3 linked regions of the Kluyveromyces lactis genome follow. The protein of the gene in region 3 interacts with the protein of the main gene of each other region in a biochemical or structural test. Links are inferred from orthologs where the notes say so. Each region holds a gene or a part of one and is shown on either strand. Other genes may lie near its edges.

Region 1 (4,142 bases), on a different chromosome or scaffold from region 3:
CTCTGGTGAAAGACAATTTTGACGTTCCTGACTCAGTGACAATTGTTGTTCATCACTATGGACTTCATTACCTTTGCCCGAATGCACCTTATTGGCGGGCGTCATTGAAGCATGTATCACATTTCCGTCTTCGTCTAATTCTTCTCTGATCTCAAAGAAACCTTCCTGGTCATCATCATTGTTAGAAACATTCGTATCTCCCAAAGATTTTGCACCGTCTCGAAGTAACTCCATGTTTCGCAATGTGCCATGTGCCTCTTTCAGTTTCTCATCAAATTGTGAAATGGCTTCGGCAATTAAGTTCAATCGAACCTTTATAAAAACCAGGCATTCTTCCCTAGATTTCTCCAAATAGTAATCGTAACCTATATTTTGGAAAAACTTACCATTCTGAAATACTACCTCACCATACTGCCATTCTTCTTCCGAATCTTCGCTCGTGTCAGCATCTCTTATCCTATCGAATATCTGTTCATACAACGGCTGCTGTTCCTTTAAGAAGGTTCTTTTGTTTACCAAATTATCTATGGTACCTTTGACAGTATCCATTAACTCGGCAAAAGAAGCCCCACCTTCTGCTGTTTCCATTGCGTTTCACGACTAAGACTGATTTTCTCAGCCTCTTTACCTGCCTCAGATAACTCACTCTTTCAACAAGCGATGAGATGACTTCATTACGGATGTCAAGTTACTGATTTCCGTTTTTTTTTCTTTTTGGTAGAAGCTCATACAATTTTTGGCATCACCATTTACCTTGACCCAATGGAAGTCACGTGAACAGAAATTCCTATTGTCTACCAAGGTGGTTATGGGAGACGTTCATATTTCCGTAGAAGACGTAAAAAATTTTTTTTTCTTTCCATAAGTTCGGATTTCAATATAGAAAAAACCAATACCCCCATTCACCGGACAAACTGTTGCGTTCCACCCAAACAACCAACATAAAAAGGAAAACCACGCGCTTCAGAACAGTCCGGTGGCTCGTTCAAACCTACTGAGAATCAACCATCAGTAGTGATACTTAAGGACTTTCATCAGTTCTGCAAAATCCGTACCAATAGCTGCTATCTTCAGTCCTATTTTAGATTTGGTCTCCTTGTTTTCTGCCTCCTTCACCGCCACCCGATTGCTTGCCAGTGAAGTTTTTCGCAAAATTTGGCCCCGAAAACAGGAAGAAAATAAATTTGGGCCCCCGTAAAAGAACCAATTTTTTAGAGGGATAATTGTAGTTACCCTTCCTTTCATATTTCTCGCTATTGAAATCTGGAATTCAAAGATCCTTCTTTGGCTTCAGCCGCATAGCTATCAGGGTAACTACACACGGGCATTGACACATTGCAGTATGCCAGCTCCTGCAGTGGATTCATCGAGGTTCAGGCACAGAAAGATCAGCGTGAAGCAACGACTTCGGATCTATAAGAGCCATGAAATTAAGGATTTGGAACAAGAAGATGTTTCGGCCATCAGTTCCCAGCATCAACAGCGAGAGCTGATGGAGATTGAAACTGGTGTGGAGAAGAATGAAGAAAAGGAAGAGCATTTATACAAAATTCTTCAATCCAATCAGCTTCGAGAGAACAAGAAGGATCTATTTATTCCAACACCAGACGCCTCGAAAACTTGGGACGAGTTTGACAGATTTTACCAAGGTGAATTCAAATGTCCTACGAGTTATATCCAGTTTTCTGCACAATTAGAAGATTGCTGTGGTACTTTGTATAATATGGATGAAGAAGACGAAATCTTTTTGGCAGATTTAAATAAATCCCTGGCGGATTCGGTCGAACCTCTAACGGAAGATGAGTTTGAATTAATTATGGCCAACTTTGAGTCTTCCATCAAAGATAGGCAACCCTTCCTGTCCATGGATCCCGAGAGTATACTTTCATTTGCAGACCTAAAACCAACCATGTTGAAAAACGATGTTGGTGATTCTGGCGTAAAAAAGGAACTCGCGAAGGAAATTGGGATGCCTGAAGATGAACCATTCTTGACAATGTTTGACAATAAAAGACCTCTAGGTAAAAGGGAAAAAAATATGGAGACTCTTATCGAATTGTTCGGAGAGAAAATACACGATCATTGGAAGCAACGCAAGATATCACGTCATGGTTGCGATATCTTCCCACAATTGAAATCGGAGCGTAATAATGATAAAGACGATAATGATCCATATGTGTGTTTCCGTAGGAGAGAGCTTCGACAACCTAGGAAAACAAGGCGGATAGATGTTCAGAACTCACAAAAATTGCGACTTCTATGCCAACAATTGGAATATACTAAAGATTTGGCACTCACTGTAGCCAAAAGAGAAAGAGCAGTATTAGAAGTCCTAGAAAACGAAAAGTTCGTCTTCCAAGCGCGAGCCCAATTGAAGACAATGAAGAGAAAGTTAGGCATAGATGCCGATAACGAGGATTTGTACTCGGCAAAGAAACAAAAACTCGTGAGTTCGGTGCGTACAATCAAACAACAACAACAACTTCTTCTTCAAAAACAGCTACAGATACAACAGCAGCAACAACAGCAACTACAACAGCAGCAGGCAGCCATTACTTCAGATTCATCTGTTAAACGTGCAAAATCTTCAAAATCGTCGAAACTTCACAAAGAAGACAGTGGTCTATATGCTGATGAGAAAGGAAGCGAGCCAAAGAAGAAAGGCCCAAAAACTGGTTCAAATAAAAACAAAGAACAATCACTGTCATCTGCGCAGGAAATTGGAGCTCAGTCGCCTGTTGCCAATGTCTCGAATGTACAACAACAGCAAAAACAGGCATCTTCTCAAGTATATGTTAAATTGCCTAACTCTAAGATACCTGATATCGTGTTAGAAGATGTCGGTAAATTGTTGCATTCAAAGGAAAAAAGCACAAGGAAATTTGTTGAAGACAGGATGAGAAAAAGGAAACAGGAAGATGGTGACATCTTTTTCAACCTCACTGATGATCCTTACAATCCTGTTTTCAACCTTTCAATACCAGATAACGTCAGCCCCCAAGATGCTCCATTTTCTTCTGTTGCTGGCTCAAAGTTCGAAGTAAAAACATCCTACTATTCACCTAATCTTCAAAATTATATCACTGGCACTGCGAATGATATAAAGGTTTTTAACAAGGAAGGTGAAGCTGTGGAGAACAATGAGTATAAAAAGTTAGAATTTTTCAATCCATTTGATAACGAGATTCATACTCATTCTCGTGAATTTCCAATCGCTTTCAGACGCCGTCGCGGTCGTTTCAATATGGAATATATTGACCAAAGAAAAACTGATCACAATATTAACGACATGTTATTACAATTTATTGATTTGGATGGAATACAGAAGCAAGAACTCGATAATGATGTTATAAATGTGTATGATTCTAAACTGGATGATTTATCCAGGTCATATTATCACTGGAAATATGATTCCAATTACAACATTTACGGGTCCAAGTTTTCCGACGAACCGGCGAAGTTGAACCAAATTTCAAACGATACTCAGGTGGTAAGATTTGGAACCATGTTAGGATCCAAAGCATACGAGCAACTAAGAGATGCCACCATCAAATATAGACAGGAACAAATCAACAAAAGAAAGAAACTGAATTCCCTGCAACAACAGCAAATGCTACAAAAGGGTCAACAGCCCATTAACAATGCTCCTCATTCACAGTCCTCTTCCCCACCATCTCATCAGGACACTAGGAAGAATCCAGGATCAACTCCAAATCAGTCCAGTCCGCCAAAGAAACACGTTACTCCTAACGCTGCTGCATAACGAAATTGTAAACTTTTGATGACACCAAATCCCATTATAAATATGAACTTGTAATTAGTATTTTCCGCATTCTTATGCGAATCTGTAACAATATAGATAATTCATGTTATTAAGCATCGTGAGCTGCATTATACATCACGTGACTGAACTGACTTCAGCTTCTTTTTTTTTTGGTTTACGCATCTAAAATCGGCATCTTGCATCTAACATTATGTACCATTGCAAGCATTGATTGATGAACTATGCCCAGAATAGTGCATTCACTAGGAACACTAAATTTAGAATAATACCTAGGATACTGGTAGTGGTTTACCAAGCCAGTTGTTAAAATGGTCCAAATTGACTTACCGGCTGAGTCTGCTGTTCGCATCAGGTATCC
Region 2 (3,937 bases), on a different chromosome or scaffold from region 3:
CCATTTGGTACGGGATTCTTTACCAAATGTGATGCAAAAAGTGATGGAAAAGGATATTTTTTCTACATGATGATCTGTGAATTTCACGCCACACTCTGAGCCTTGGTTGAAAAAACATGAATGCAAGGCGTACTTCTGGTTTTACAGGCTTTCGAAATGGAGATGAAGAAGAACAAAACAACGTAGTAGAGCTACTTTCAGCGCCTTTTCAAGGATAGAGTTAAATTCTTGAAGGAATTTGTAAGGTACAATGTAAAACAATCTATCACCTGGTTATCAGGGAAGCGCTACAAAATTGTCGAATCTTAATTAGAGCTGTACGGTGCTGGCCGAATGAACCCTTTTTTGAGAACCGTATGTAGATCTTTGTGAACTGTGAATTTATGCACACAGATTACGTCACACAGTCCAATCAATAGAAGCAGTTAATGGTTCCAGTAATAGCTAAAGGGGGGGTATTGCCTCATTTTTCGAGTTGGTAAGTAAAAACGATATTCGTTTAAGTTAGCCGCCTTGAATTTAATCGACGATTATGTTGTACTTGTTTTAATAAGATGTTGTCCGTGAAAAACACGAGTTATCGTGAGCGCTACTTACCCTTCGCCATTGTTCTATCTTTCGACACTCAAAAAATTATGCACATTGGCTGTCCGCTTATCTGCTAGAGTAACGTTCACATTTCGTGCGTATTTTTCTGTTGATGATGGCAAAGAATAAAACAAATACGTAATTTTCAATGAAAAATTAATAGCCGGGTAAGTTATTCGGATCATGCACGTGATCACTTCCTAAATAGGAATGTCATCACGTGATACAAAACTTTTCAAGGTCTACAGAGGTTTTTCAAATTGTTTTTCTTGGTACCAATTGTTTTCAAATTTCGATATGACATTGAAATCTGTACTCTCAACCAACAAAAGCGTAGTATTGATTTCAAACGAATACACGAACTTCAACCACCAAAGCAATTATAGCGCCTTATCACTAGACAACAGGTTCTATCAGCTAGCTTCGCATTTTTGTTCTTTTATTTCAACTTGCATCCTCCCTAATTCATTAATTTCAAAGGAAGACGCGGTCTGCAATTTGATTCTTTATTCAATATAGCTGAGCTGCAACGATTGTAACTTATAAGCAATGGAATCAACTGATACTCATGAGAGAATGGACACTTTTGTCGAAAGAATCAGGGATACTGAAGATGTTGCTGAAAGACATGCCATTATATCAGAACTTTACGATGTTTTGGATGTTGTAACTTCTTCAGTCGAATACGATGAGTTTTTGAAGAAGTTGTTGCCGCTCATTTTATCACAGTTGAATGATGATCAAATCTCAATGAATGCCTCATCTCCTGAACACAAGTTGAGAAATACATGTCTAGAACTTTTGAATAGATGTCCACTTAACGATAAAATGGAACCTATGGCCATGGAAGTGCTGCAATGCCTGTTAAAAATATTAACCTTAGAAAACGATGAAAATGGTGTCTTGTGTATGAAGATCCTCACTTCGTTGTTCAAATGCTATAAGCAGCCATTAGAAAGTGAAGTGAATACGTTCATTAAAATTATCGTTGGAATATATGAAAACGTACCGAACTTGGTGGCATCTACTTTCCTTGGTGAAGAAGAAACCAGCTCATCAACTGCAGATTCACAAGATTTTTCGAACTCTAATAATGAGGAGGATGCTTTCGAAAACTTGTCTGCACCGTCCAAGAAACATTTGGAAAAAGCTACAGAATCATTCAAGACTTTGTCTGAATGCCCAATTACAATGGTGACCTTATTTTCATCATATAAACATTTGATTTTAGTAGACTTACCGACTTTTTTACCACTCGTCATTGACTTACTCACTTTGGAAGTGAAACAACAGCAAAAATCCAGAGAAGAACTAGAAGCTAAAGGTGAAAAACTTATTGGGATGTCGTCAGAAATCAAAAACCGCTCTGCATTCTGTGATTATGTCCTAGCTCAAATCAAGGCAACTTCTTTCTTAGCGTATGTGTTTATTCGCGGTTATGCTACAGATATTTTGAAACTACACGTCAAGAAAGTCCCAGATTTGGTGATGAGATTATTACAGGACTGCCCAAGTGAATTATCATCTGCACGTAAAGAATTATTACATGCTACGAGACATATTCTCTCTACAAGTTATAAGAAATTGTTTCTACCCAAGATCAATTTGATGTTTGACCAAAAAGTCTTGATTGGTGATGGATTCACTTCATATGAAACCTTGAGACCATTAGCGTACAGTACCCTTGCAGATTTCATTCATAATATTCGGTCAGATTTGGCAATGGCTGACATAGAAAAAACTGTTAAAATGTACACCAGTTTTCTTTTGGATGAGTCTTTGGCTTTGACTGTGCAAATTATGAGTGCTAAGCTACTATTGAATTTAATAGAACGGATTTTAACTTTAGGTAAGAAAGACGCATATGAAGTTCCTAAGGCCAAAAAGCTACTAATGACGATTATAGAGGCTTATACTTCAAGATTCAAGCTATTAAATTCACAGCATAAGAAGATATTAAAACAACATAATGTCTACGAACAGAGTAAAAATAAGAAATCTAAGGAGATCCAAGATCAACTTGCGAAAGACAGGCACGATGTTGATGAATATATGGTTAACATCTTGAAATCAACAGACGAATTGTTACCGTCATCAGTTACTGTTGATACCAATGCCGACGTCGATGGTGATATTACTATGAGCGAAGAACCTGATATATCAGAGAAAGGTAACAGTTCGGTGCATAGTGATAATAACACATCACTGACTGTAAAGAATCAAGATAAAAATTCGGATATATCGTTCAAAGAAAACTCAGTTGAGATATTGGACTTCAATGATATACAAAATCATGCTCCAATAATTCTCTTCCAAGCGACGTCAAATGATCCTCTTAAGGACGCATTTTACTTATATCGTACTCTTCTTTCATTTCTGAAAACCATTATTCATGACTTGAAGGTTTTTAACCCACCCCCAGATGAATATACTACAATGAATCCGAAAATGTGGTCTGCATTATCAAGAGTATTTTCCTACGAAGAGGTGATCGTGTTGAAGAATTTGTTCCATGAATGTATAGCTGGTCTACATCTATTTTCTTCTAATCCAGAGGGCATTGATCCATCCACAGTAAAAGCACACTTCGATATAACTACACCTAGCTTACCTGTGTCAGCAACTAAAGATGGTCGAGAGTTGATGGATTATTTCGCTATTATTTTCATGCAAATCGACAGTCCTGTCTTCAATGAAATCGTTGAGAGTGAAATCGTCTTTATCTACGAATCTTTACTACGCGATTCAGCTTTGTTGCATGTTGCTCAATCATTCTTGACAAGTGAAATCACATCTCCCAATTTCACCGGTATTCTTCTAAAGTTCTTGAATTCCAAACTTCCAGAACTAGGGAATGTGGACAGTAACAAATCAAATATACTCATCAGACTATTCAAGCTATCATTCATGTCTGTCAATCTCTTCCCTATTACCAATGAGGCGGTCTTGTTACCTCACTTGAATAATTTGATTTTAGATTCTTTGAAGTATTCGACAGAGGCTGAAGAGCCTTTGGTGTATTTCTATTTGATAAGAACATTGTTCAGAAGTATTGGTGGCGGCAGATTTGAAAACTTGTATCGTTCAATAAAACCAATACTTCAAACTCTTCTACAGTCCCTCAATAAGATGATCCAGACAGCTTGTCGCCCTCACGAACGCGATTTGTATGTGGAGCTCTGTCTCACTGTGCCTGTGAGGCTTAGTGTATTGGCACCATATTTGAATTATCTAATGAAGCCATTAGTGTATGCCTTGGTTGGATTTCCAGAATTGATAACTCAAGGATTAAGGACTTTGGAGTTATGTATCGACAATCTAACTCCAGAGTATCTAGACCCGATTTTGG
Region 3 (4,161 bases):
CAATGATTTCACGTTTATTAGCCGGTTTCGTATTTCTCTGTGTGGGAGTTTGAGTTGTAACCTTTTCTTTTTCACCTAGTGGTGGTGCACTCTGGGGAGTGGACTGCTTAGACCTAATTCTTGAATCCTTTGAGTTAGGATTATTTGCCATAGGCAAATTCGGACTTGATGCTGTAGTGAGAGGAAGCTTTCCTTGCTGCAATTGAGCCATCTGCATCCTTTGTTTGGCAGCACGTTTTATTTGCATATCCCTTCTCAAGGCCTCATCACGCTGAGCTTTTAAGTCTGACATTTCTTGAGGGGTTGGAACACTCATATTCTTAACATCAAAAGGTTTACGCGGCTGCGAAGGATTTGGTCTGGGTGCGTTTTCTCTTTTTTTAATGCACTTTCTCATTGCCTCAAACATACTTGCCCAGCGTAAACGCCTATGTCCTCGTTGTATGGATTCCGATCCCACACCAAGGGGAGATATTCTCCTTTTTTGCTGCTGCTGTAATTTATGAGCTTCGTACAACCATATTTGTGCATTATGAGCCTTTGGACCCTTCATATCTGCAATGTTGAACTTTTCGTTTAGTTGAACGAACCGCTCAAAGCATTGCCAAGGGGTTCTACGTTCGATGTTTGAAACATATTCTCTTTTGTGATGATTGGACATCTGAGAACTAATGAGGTCCCAGTTATAGGCATACTGGTTTATATTTTTGACAAGCTCCTGATCATCTTCAGGTAACCAGATGGTGGGTGTACGAAATTTCAAATAGCGTAATGATGGCGCATTAGGAGGGCGAAGATAATGGCTACGTCTATTTCCATAAAACATACCACGTCGTTTTGATAAAGGAACTAGAGATGGTTCTTCGTCAACAAATTGCTTTTCTACTAATTTCATGAAATGGTCCTCGTCAAGAGGAGAAATTGCCTTTGAAACCGGTTCAAAGGGCAATGGTCTGCTAGAATCGAGATTCTTTTCGTCCAAAAGACCATACAAAGGGAGTGAGTTTGAAATGGCTGCTCCCAGTGTTGATAATTCCTTTATATCAATGTAATTCCTGAAGGGAGAGGATGATTTCTTAGCTAAATAAACTTCCATGGAGGTAACCGGAAGAGATGGAGCGACGATTTCATCTTTGGGGTTAACTCTCTTTAGTAACTTTTGTATGTCTATGGTAGGCTCTTCAGATGAGTTTTTATCAGTTTCCTTGTCCCCCTCTTTGATACCATTTTCAGACTTCTCTTCCACCGCTTCACTCCCATCAGTTAAACCGGTACTTGATTTTACACCATCCTCTGACATCTCCACATCTTCAGCAATTTTAGAAGACCCATCATCGTTGGATTGATCAGGACTTGTGTTTGATTCTTTATCTTTTTGTTCTGGCTCAACTGTACTGATTTTTGTTCCCATATCTTGGGAGGAAGCAATATCTTCTATGTCCTTTGATGGCGGTGGAATACTTTTACAATTGATACAGCATACTTTACCATAAGTCCAAAATTCCATAACTGCCTGTGCCATTTGAGTGCACATGGCTATCTTATAATTCAACGATTCACGGAAGTCTTCACGCATCCATTTTGCTTCTTCAATCAACACATTATGATGAGTTACAGGTTGTGAAGCGGTAACGGGATCGATAAATTTTCTTGGTTGTCTAAGTGACCAGAGATTCAGCCTTCTCAATTCCTCTATCCTTGATGCTACTACAGTGATTCGTCTTTCATTCAATGCAGTATTAATCAGATCAGTCGTCAATGCTTTTTGAGATTGTGGTATCAATCTCAGCAAGGGCAAAGTCTGGGATAAGTATTTGATTTCTTGAATGGGCATACCCTTTGCCAACTTGGTTGGCGCGTTCTCTTTCGTAATCATGTATACCGCCTCTTTCACATTTATGTCATCTTCGAAAAACGTCTTACGCTCTTCCTTTGATACATTGTTGATAATAGATTCTATAATATAGGGTTGAGGTTCTTTCACCCCAATTGGTGTTGGGTCAGCATGCAATTGTGAGATGTCTATCATCTGAGAATAAGGATGAGGCGGAATTTCCATTGTTGCAGCGTTACGTGCAGCGGTAGAATTAGATAGGTTTCCACTATCAAGCCGTTGCCTTTTACTTATTTGATTTTCGGAAATATCTTGTTGTTCCTCATCTAACAAACGCTTTCCAGAAGTACTTGGCTTTGATTGGGTCTCCGGATATTGGACAGATTTCGGTTCCATATGTGCCTGAACTACCACAGGAGGAACATTATTATGTGTTATCGGCAGCTTCTGTGTGGGAGACACCGATCGCTGCTTTTGCAGTTGTTGCTGCTGCAGCTGTCGAGATGACTGCGCTTGCACCATAGATTGCCTTGAACTTTGCTGAATTGACTGCTGTGACTGAACTCGTGGAACTACCCTTGTTTGAGACTGCGGGAGTGTCTGCGTATCCACATCATGTTCCTCGCTTCCACTTGGCGACACGTCTTTCGACCGCTGTTTCTTCAATTCTCGTTTCACTTCTGACGGTGAAGAACTCTTACTCCTGTTATTCAGCTTCCTATCTGACGACACGTCTCTCGGCCTAAACTTAGGCAATGCATTAATATCTATAGGCTTGTCCTTGATCAAGGTATGTTGATCTAAAAACTTTTCTATCTCCTTCCCTATTCTCTCATGATTCTCCACGTTTTTTAACTCGGTAATTTGTGAGATACAGTACAATTGTACTAGCAAGTGCCGTCTCTCCTCTAAGAGCTGCTCTGGGCTCTTACTTCCAGTAGCATTCCCTTTGCTTGCACTGCTCATCGCCTTGAAATCCTTACTTTCTATTAGATGTTCTGTGAATATCTGTCACGTTGAAAAAATATAACTTTCGGTCTGAATGGCAAGTGATAGGAAAATATCCAAAAAAAAAAAAAGGAAACTGGGTCCTCTGATTTTTCTTTTAGCGAGGGCTTGTCTCGGAAACAGCACGCTTCTGTACAAACAACAGGATCGTCCAACCAAACAAGGCTTTTCTGTGTCAGGTACTTTTGAAACTGAGTCGAATAGTGTTCTCACGGTCCTGTTCTGTTACCGTATTACGGCTTGTTTTCTCGATTTCTACTATATAAGTACGTATTTCATGTTGTTCAGCAATTTTTTTGTTCCTTGAAAGATTTTTTTTTCTTTTGGGAGGCCGAAATCATGTAAGGAGGGTAACTAAAGATCAGGTCACGTGCGTTAATTGTTGGGTTCCCAGAACGGGATTAATCCACATACCATCATCACCTTCCTCAATGTAACTACTGAACATTTACATCACTCACCAGGTCTTGATGGCCGCATCTAGATCTTCGATGGATTTAATTAGTCCAGCATGGTCCAAAACCATGTACGATGTAATAAGACCCTTTCTCGCCTCGGAATCCACATGGACTTTGGCTAGCTTTTCAAGGAAACGATCTTCTTCATGGAAATAGTCTACTTCGTTTGTTTGTCTTACCTTCTTGCGGACAGCTTGGTTCGATGTTAGATCGTCTTCGTCCATATCAAAATTCACTTCGTACTTCCTTGAAACGATTAGGTAGAAATCATAGTTTTTATCATCCCCAAGCGCAAGCTTCACATCTTCTAATGTGATAGTGTACAATGGCGGCACAACTTCTGGTGGCATATTAATCAATCTTTCACTCAAGACTAACGAACAAGTCTTCTCCGATTGATCTATAGTTTGTAGGAAAGTAGCTAGCTTGGGGTCAACTTTACGAAGATATTTGGCATAATCACTATCTTTGTTGGCCTTGTAATCGATAAATGATAGGAAACAGTATGGGTCAGACTCCTTACCATCGGTTTTGATGGTAGTAGTTGGTGAGTCCAAGATTAAATTTGCCAATTCACTTAGTTGAATTCTGTTCGATTCCTGTGGTCCAAACAACTGACGCATCAGATTCTTCAAAGCATGGAAATCAACGTCGGGATTACCATTGAAGAAATCAAAATCGATGTTGATGATTTCTTGTTCCTCTTGACCGTTTTCTTGGTCTGAAATATTTGAGTCTGTACTTGATATGTCAAGATCAGATTCCTCATCGACTGCACGTTTCTTGGATAATGCACTTAATTTAACAACCTGGACCATTGCAGACTAAAATAGAGTGTTGTTGCTGGTTTAATAAAGCCCA

The links.
Region 1: the proteins of EAF1 (region 3) and EPL1 are reported together in a solved structure, tested with the Saccharomyces cerevisiae proteins (2 studies listed by BioGRID, with this or other methods). The link is inferred for Kluyveromyces lactis from reciprocal best matches to the Saccharomyces cerevisiae genes EAF1 and EPL1.
Region 2: the proteins of EAF1 (region 3) and TRA1 are reported together in a solved structure, tested with the Saccharomyces cerevisiae proteins (2 studies listed by BioGRID, with this or other methods). The link is inferred for Kluyveromyces lactis from reciprocal best matches to the Saccharomyces cerevisiae genes EAF1 and TRA1.

The regions. Positions count from the first base shown.
Region 1 is NC_006042.1:2,337,832-2,341,973, reverse strand, and holds EPL1 (Epl1p), read left to right. Parts: upstream 1-1,342; coding exon 1,343-3,763; downstream 3,764-4,142. Other genes in the region: BUD27 (prefoldin-like protein), read right to left, coding at 1-588; BST1 (Bst1p), read left to right, coding at 4,093-4,142.
Region 2 is NC_006042.1:2,059,528-2,063,464, reverse strand, and holds the start of TRA1 (histone acetyltransferase TRA1), read left to right. Parts: upstream 1-1,137; coding exon 1,138-3,937. UniProt on the Saccharomyces cerevisiae protein: Essential scaffold subunit of the transcription coactivator SAGA complex. SAGA acts as a general cofactor required for essentially all RNA polymerase II transcription.
Region 3 is NC_006041.1:1,912,888-1,917,048, reverse strand, and holds the start of EAF1 (Eaf1p), read right to left. Parts: upstream 2,801-4,161; coding exon 1-2,800. Other genes in the region: protein-transporting protein BCP1, read right to left, coding at 3,300-4,118. UniProt on the Saccharomyces cerevisiae protein: Component of the NuA4 histone acetyltransferase complex which is involved in transcriptional activation of selected genes principally by acetylation of nucleosomal histone H4 and H2A. The NuA4 complex is also involved in DNA repair.